Linked DNA regions of Yarrowia lipolytica. The protein of the gene in region 2 interacts with the protein of the main gene of each other region in a pairwise test. Links are inferred from orthologs where the notes say so. Each region holds a gene or a part of one and is shown on either strand. Other genes may lie near its edges. The genes, in order: YALI1_E26205g and YALI1_F27343g.

Region 1 (3,097 bases), on a different chromosome or scaffold from region 2:
AGAAGAACAATGTTTTTGTAGAAGATGTGCCTCTGGCGTTCTCATGGTTCACAAAGTCAGACACGATTAACACTGCTGATCTACGACGAATAGCCAAGTTGGTGAAAGATAACGCCAGTGAGAAGGATTTCAAAGACATGATGGAGGTGGCTGGAGCTGTCGGCGGCAAGATTGATATTCAAGCATTTGAGGGGTTACTGAAGAAGCTCTAAAAGTCCAGAAGAGAGACCCAGATCAGACGCAAGCATATGCGATGACCTCTTGGCGAGCGTTTATTTATATGTAACGAAAGATACGAATTACCTAATGACCATACAAGTAGTGAGTATATAGTGCAACCATTACAATCGTTATAACCATTGTTCATCAGATCACGATTTGTCGTCCAAATCAGCTTTCACGTTCTACGAGTACACAACAGTCCTTTCTGACCACTACAAGCAGACACTTTTCAAGCGTCCTCATTCTCGAGCGCGTCACATTGTGTCTCTTTTCATTCTAACAATTATCAATTTTTTGATTTGAACCCCTTTTAAATGATATGCTTGGATCGGAAGTAAGATCTGAGGTAGATGATCTGCCAGACGCCGAGAGCAATGAGAGCCAAGGTGATGCCGACGGAGAAGAACTTGACTCGTCGGTTAGTGGACTCGTTGGTGTCTCGCAGCCTGATCTCTCGCATCTTGAGGTAGTTCATTTCCTTGTCCACCTCATCGACGATCTCCTCGATCTTTCGCAGCTGCACCTCTGCGGGCTTGAGCTTTTCGGAGGCCTGGATCTGCTCCCAGTCTCGGGCGTTGGCTCCAATGGCGACCGACAGATCAATCTCCTTGGTCTTTCCGAGATCCTGGTGCGAGTTGGCCACGTTGTGGAAGCACACGTCCAGAGCAGTGTCCTGATGAGAGCTAAAGGTGGTGATCTCTCGGCCCAGAACATTCTTGATTCGGGTGTACTCGTTTCCATGTGCGTCTCGAACGACCACGCTCAGCTGCTGGCCGTCAGCGTACTTGGGAGACTCGACAGTGACGACAACGAGCTCGCCGTTCTTGACAAAGTCTCGCACACAAAAGGGCAGCTCGTTCTTGTCCTTGGCAGGCAGCACAAACCGCAGGGCGGCCACGGCGTTGATGAGGAGCAGCAGGGTCAGCACGCTCACGATGGATTTCATGGTTGGCGTTCGGTCTGTGTATGTGTTGAGTTGAAAAGGTAGGAAGGTGGAGTGCACTTAGCGTGTGATAGTTACGTGTTAACTTTACGCGTGTTCAGGGTTGTGGTAGGTGGTAACTTTGTGGTCCTTAAAAGCGGTATAGCTGGTGGCTAGAAAGTATATAAGGGTGGCTAGGGGCCCTGTTCAGACTGTGGATTTGCAGTGAGGTCTGGGCCAGTCGAAAAGAGTCCTTATAACGTCCACTGCGCACGGCTCTCAATCTGAGATCAAGCGAAAAGACCCTTTCAAAACTCCGAACCTTGATTGCGCCCACGAAGCAGTTGGAGACTCATAGCAATGAGAGGGAGAGCAGCGCACCGTCACGTGACGAATATGATGGGGGGTTGGGGTTGGGGGATGGGTTGTGACAGCCTCCGAACCGACGAAACACGTCTAGGTCTCTATTTATACCCCAATTCACGTGATCCTCCTCTTCCAACAGAACTTAATCCATCTCTTCAGACAAGATCGTTGGCGCATACAGTAATATGATCGTGTGCCGGGGTCGAGTTGGGAGAGACACGCACGGCAAGTGAGGTGGAAGGATGAATAAGCGGGTCAACAGGTGCCCAAAAAACACCAAAGCCAACTAGGTTCATTCATTTGGCTGCTGCTTCACATCTTGTGGTACTACATTGTAGTTCGGCTATGGCTTCGTTCCATTTCTCGGTCAGATTATGACTGCACTATAGCTACAGGTACTTGTAGTATATCAAGCATAGTGACCACCGACAGACAGCGCAGCATGTCGATCCTCTGTATCAGTTTGGAGAGATGATCGCTATCGGAACAACTATGTACACTGTACGAGGCGAGTGTGCGAGTGAGAGTACGACTAAAAGTACGACTGAAAGTACGACTGAAAGTACGATTGAAAGTACGACTGAAAAATTCAAGTGTCAGCACAAGTTCCGGTATCGTACTGTATCCAGCTACAGCACATCGCGGTATAGTATACATACTGTACACTGCAATATTGCAATGTTTGTAGTGGTCTAACTCGCCTATCTAAGAAGTCATCGGTCAATATATATACCGTATGTACTTCTCTTCGGCCAGTACTCGTATTTGTACAAGTACCATTGTTCTGTTCTGCAATCACTGGTGCAACTTCATGTGTTGTCAGGTCCGGATTAGCCTTCAATTTAAATTATCTGGAGACTGCAAGCTGTCAATGTCAGGGGTTGAATGTGGGATTATAATTAGTGTGCCGGGAGTGCAATTCCTGTACACGACCCCAGCAGTCTCATGTCCTTGAAAGTGAGCTTTTTGTGTTTGTTTCCATCCCAACTGGTGGTTTCGTAGGTCGCTCTTTTCACGTCCCCCCTTGCACGAGGCTGGCTCATCACCTTTCCCTACAGCCTAAACCCGCCCTACCTGTATGTATCAATATACCGTTTGCTGGCTGTACAGTGAGAGATATTGCGGGCGAGAGAGACGCCGAAAGAGGCGGATGTTGAGTCTTTTTGAAACCGTGGCAGTCTATAATCAGCCGTGGGGCGGAAAATGCCGCTACCAGACTGCCACCCACTGGCACTACCGTCTCAAAGTGGCCTATAGCCCGCCTTATATATATAACCACAATTGGCTGACATGTGCAAGGGTGCATGAAGGGTGCGTGGGTGGGACAAGTGCTTGTATGAGGTTGGTATTTTTGTATTCTTGGGACTTGCTGCATCCCCCTATTTGACGCTCTTGTAGAAATGCTTCCGGGTGGAAAAACACCACGACAAAAGGCGCTGAGGATTTTCAAGAAGCTTGTGTCCCTCATTTTATGTCCACTGACACATGTCTACACTAAGTCCACCTTTTTCCAATCATCTGTTTACCTCTTTCCCACCTAAGGTTGGTTTCAAACCATACTATTTTTAGCGCACATTTAAGAGAGAG
Region 2 (5,399 bases):
CCACTATTTCTCGAGCGCAATTTATCTTCCTGCACCTTAAGCAGCTGATTGTGGCGATTAAACTACTCAATTGCATATATGTCGATGGCTGGAAGGAGGTTGGAGGTGGGCAATTTATTTATGACTACGCTGTAGAGGTGGTGGTATATTATCGCAGACAAACAATCTCAAGATTGATTGATTTATGGTAGCTCATTATTTCACTCAACTGTCAGGAAAACTTCCTCTCGTGCTGTATAAGTAGTGCTCTATCGTCTACTGTACCCACCTTTTTCCACTCCCAATATCACGGCAAAGTTATAATTAAATGAATGTATATGCAAAAAAAAAAAAAAATGGTATCATGTTGTTGGCCAAAAACACCAGAGGCCACTGATCTTCACAGAAAAAGTAATGACTGACAGTACAGTAACGTTACACCATGTAATAGGAGCTACGATGAATATGAGTATGAATATACAGTATAAAGTAAGATGTTTGTTTTAATACACACTGCCCGTATATATACACATTGACGACTACAATACCTTCAATGTGCCTCTCTTTCCATACAGCCGGTTATCTGCATCTCCTGATGTACAGGCTACATAATTCAAGTGCTGTACCGAAACACTCCAAATATGGTCCTGAGATAATAAAACCTTAATCATCGAACGAAGGGGCAGAACATAAAGAACACCAACGACACCACGGGTACCCACAAGTACACGCGGCAGGCCCTGTTCAATACTCTAATAATATATATTTGTTATACGTTGTGTTCATTTTTTGTGTTTGTTGCTATCCAAAACCCCGGACTCTATTTACATGTCCTTCTTGATCTTGGAAACGTGCGGTGCGATGGTCACTCCAGCAACTAAAACGCCAGAGAGGTACTCTAACACCATCATGAACAGACTGAGACCACTGGCGATACAGTAGTGTGAAATACCAGTGCCAATGTCGAGCCATGAGCCCTCATCGACAACCAGATAGAAGAAGTTGAGTGTCAGAATGTCGGAGACACACAAGACCATGGAGAACAGCGCCGAAGGAGGAACTCCAAGCTTCAGGTTCAAGATGCCCAGACATGCAGATAGGACAGCAAACGGCACCAAGATCTTGAACATGAGCAGAGCACCCATGGAGAAGGGGTCAAATACAGGAATCAATCGGTACACAGAGTCCAGAGAGAAAGACGAAATGGAGGCAATGTTTCCAATACCGAAGAAACCAATCTGGGACATGAAGAAGGTGAACAAAGCCATTCGGAAGTCACCAGGAGTAAGATCAGCCCGGGTCTGGGGTGTCACTCGGGCATCTCGCATTTGAGTCTCAAGCTCAATCCAGATGACAAGGATAGCAAAGAAACAGACGTAGAAGAATCCCTCCCACGAGATGGTGAGGATGACAAAGGTAGGTCCAAATGCCAGGAAGATGATGAGCAGACGCAGTCTGTAGTCCTTGGCATCAGATCCCAGGAAGTGTAAGAAGGGCACTGCAAGGGAGAGAAGAAGAGAGATCCATCCTCCAACCTGAGAAAACAGAGGAAGACCGTTTCGAGCAGTAAGAGACTCAACGGACTCTCGAGTGAAGTACATGGTTGCAACAACGAGAAGGATCTGAGCAAAGAGAACGCAAACAGTGGAGGCCGCAAGAGCAAGTTTTCGCTGCAGATGAATAGTGAACACCAGTCCAATGACCAGCATGAGGGCACCAGAAAGCAGAATCTGCTCAATAGACTCCACCTTCACGACCTCCAGAAGTGTGAAGGAAGACATGATTGCGCACATGACAACCCAGGCAAGAGTAGTGGGCCATTCTCGCTTGGCAACAGTGAAGTTGTGCACAAAGGGCCACAGAGTAGCGAGTCCGAAACAAACAGAGAATATCTCTCGGTGGAAGTACCCGTAAACAATGGCCTCAAGGAGAACAAGAGAGAGACCAATGTCCAAAATAGCAGCAAGAGCTGGAGCCTTAGAGGTAGATCGTCGTGCCAGAATGGAGATACCCTCGGCAACAGCAGTTCGCCTCTGCAAGACAGCCTCCCAGAAGACAACAGGAAAGACAGCGTAGAGGTGGTAGTGGAGAGGAGACTTCTGGAAAACGAAGAAGCCTGAAAGAATGGCCAGGGCAACGTAGGCAACTCCCTTGAGAGGAAGAGACGTGGTAAAAGGCTTGTCGGACTGAACCACGAAGGCAAGCAGGTAAGAGCAGAAGGCAACAGCAATCCATCCAAAGAAGCCTATGGTCACCAGGGTTCGCAGGAACAGCCAATTGTAGGTCTGAAGGTACTTAAGGCCGGTGATGGCATATGTCATGAGTTCCTCAGAGGCAACAATCGACTCCTGGTCGAGTCCCTGGGCAATCAGCTCGTCGATATGGGCCAGTCTCTCATCGATGGTCTTTCCAGCATCAGAGAGGGGAGGGTAAGGCTTGAAAATGATCTGGGAACCCTTCTGCTGCTCTTCCTTGACTAGGTACTGCTCCACAAGAGCAAGAGCGTTGTTTCGGATAGCCAGAGCCTTGGTCTCAGAAGTAGCGTTCACAAAAGCCAGAGGAAGCTCTCCGACAGAGTTAGAGGGGTAGTTGAGACCCACAAGGTACGACATAAGAGAGGCGATATCAGCCTGGTTGACGTCATTTCGCTTGACAGGCAGATCCCAGACCTCTGAGTAGTCGTCGTGATTACCCTTGTCTTCGAAGGCGGGGATTGGCTTGTTAACTCCAGCTCCCCAAGCGATGAGAGGAGTTCGAGTGTTATCAGGGTGACCGTCACCGTGTGAACCCCAATCGGACATGCCGTGATCGGCCGTAAACACCCAAGCGGTCTGTTCGTCATCGTTGTAGAACTTGTTCACCTTGTCCACCAACTTCTCGATGTTCTCATCAATGTACTTGATGTTATCGTAATACTCAGCCGAGTAGGGTCGGTAAGAATGACCAGCAGTGTCGATTCCAAGCAGATGCAGGAAGAAGACGGTCTTGTCGGATCTCAATTGGTCGTTCAGAGTCTTGTTGGTCTTTGATTTATCGAAGATCTCGTCCAGGTGGTCGAAAACGAACGCGTCAAGCTCAATAGAACCCTTTGTGAAATCCTCAAAGTCGTGGCCATACATGATAGCATCAATTCGCGATTGATCCTCGGCTCCATGCTTGAACATGGGCAAGATATCGGGAGATCCAAGCGAGTAAGTGTGTCTGGACTGGTTGAAAACGGAGTCAAAGTCCACAGGGTTTTCCTTCCATCCCTTTGTGACGGCACTCACGTCCTCGTAGAAGCCTGCAATGAGCGCCACATGGCCAGGACGACTTTCTGTGGGCATTCGGGTGTGTGAGATGCCAAAAGTCGCGTCGGACATGACCTTTGAACGCAAAAAAGGAGCCAGGTACTCGGACTCGCCAGTTGTGGGATGTCGCACCTTCTCAAAGGCCTTGTCGGCTCTCAGACCGTCTCCCACAATGAGGAACAGCCGCTTGGCAGGCGGAGTAGCGGTACTCTGGTGATGCTTCATGCCATGGATCAAGGGCGACACAAAGTAGATGTCGAAGATTGACCACATGAAGGCCACATGGAAAATGACTCCCACCAGCAGCACCAGCTTCTTGTTGAGCGATATCATCTTATCTGGGCAATATGGTGATTTGGCGAATCGTCAAGCACAAAAAGGACCTTAGTGGTGAATGCTGCATGAACCACGTCTACACGTGGGATAGGGTTGTAAGGGGTCAGATGTGGGGTGTGTACGGAAGGTGCTAGCAGAAGAACCAGCTTGAGCCAGTCTAGTGGATCTGAGGGACCCCAGGGACGTACATTAGATTATGGATCATCCTCTTTTACATCTAAGTAAGTTGATTCAGTAGGCTACGTGTCAAGTGAAAAAAACACGCGTGTTCCACGAAATCAGAGTATTAGGTTCTGTTGTACTTGTTCTGTAGTCCCACTTCGAGATCGGAAATAGAATCTAAATTTAATTGCGTATATACGGATGATTTACTAGAATATATCATAGTAATTCGAATTAAATTGAGAGAAATGTGGGAGTTGACACAATCGTTGTCAGAGGGTCACATACGACTTTTTATATACAATATTTTGTATTATTGACTTTGCACCAATGCCATACAGTAAAACATGTATAGACATCACTTATTATCTCTTGTTCTTCGTAATGCCAGTGCATTCGTATAACAGCTACAAGTACATACTGTACAGTAGTTGTACTCGTAAAGGACATATACGTAGTACACGTTTTAGTTGACGTGTCGGGTTGCAAGTGCTTGTACAATACTTGTATCATATAAAGCAATATGAAGGCCTAACGACCAGATGGAATTCTTACTCGAAGAGCAAACGGCTGCACAGGTACACACGGTTCTTGTTATATTTTTTACGTATGACTTTTGTTGTACGCAAGATAATACTGTAGTTCAAGTACAGTAGTTTGAAAGTTACTGTATAATTAAATGAATGTATATGCAGGAAAAAACAAACGATGTTGAACAAGTAGAACACCATCTGACTGGCAATGGAGGCGAATATAACATATCTGGGGCACTCTGTTCCACTCCCACTTTACTTCGGAACTAATTCGAATCAGATATACTTGTACCTTCCAGCATATCGAAAAGTACACCCACAGCCCTTCCATGTTAGCCACTGTCGAGTTGGCTGAATTTAGGACACTGACCAGCCACTGAGAGTATAAGCTGCCACCCACCCACTACTGTATATAGACACGTTACAAACCATAGAGGAAACTCGTCGGTGATCTGAACAATATCATTTACTTTTGTAAACACTTGCCAAACAGTAACTTATCCTAGTGTATATCCTTCCCTACAAACGCTTCCCACACCCCCATTGGTCCCCCAATATAACACCCCACATAATCGCTGCATGTCACTGAGACTAACTACAAGTAGCTAAGCTACCGCGCTCATTCTGTACAGGGCTGATATCTGATACATAAACACCACACATGGACGACATTATGCAACACAACATGTCTTGGAAAGAGCAAGCTGAGCGTTTCATGGACTTCATGTCCAACGCCCCCACGGCCTACCATGCATGCGATCTTCTGGCCCAAGACTTTGATGCAGCTGGATACAAGGAGTTGTATGAGCGAGACGAATGGGACCTCACGACACACAATAAGTTCTACGTGCGACGAAACGGAAGCGCTATCATGGGATTCGTAATTGGTGAGAATTGGACGCCTGGAAACGGTGTCGGAGTTGTTGCCACGCATACCGATGCTCTATGTGGCCGAGTCAAGCCCATCAGTATCAAGCAGCCTGTGGATGGGTATAATTTGTTGGGTGTGGCTCCTTACTCTGGTGCTTTCAGCTCTGTGTGGTGGGACAGAGATCTAGGAATTGGAGGACGACTGATTGTTCGAGACGAGGCTTCCAAG

Evidence for each region.
Region 1: the proteins of YALI1_F27343g (region 2) and YALI1_E26205g interact in a protein complementation assay, tested with the Saccharomyces cerevisiae proteins (2 studies listed by BioGRID). The link is inferred for Yarrowia lipolytica from reciprocal best matches to the Saccharomyces cerevisiae genes MCD4 and ERV25.

The regions. Positions count from the first base shown.
Region 1 is NC_090774.1:2,618,641-2,621,737, reverse strand, and holds YALI1_E26205g (uncharacterized protein), read right to left. Parts: upstream 1,169-3,097; coding exon 533-1,168; downstream 1-532. Other genes in the region: YALI1_E26223g (uncharacterized protein), read left to right, coding at 1-212.
Region 2 is NC_090775.1:2,730,728-2,736,126, forward strand, and holds YALI1_F27343g (uncharacterized protein), read right to left. Parts: upstream 3,603-5,399; coding exon 804-3,602; downstream 1-803. Other genes in the region: YALI1_F27356g (uncharacterized protein), read left to right, coding at 4,962-5,399. UniProt on the Saccharomyces cerevisiae protein: Ethanolamine phosphate transferase involved in glycosylphosphatidylinositol-anchor biosynthesis. Transfers ethanolamine phosphate to the first alpha-1,4-linked mannose of the glycosylphosphatidylinositol precursor of GPI-anchor.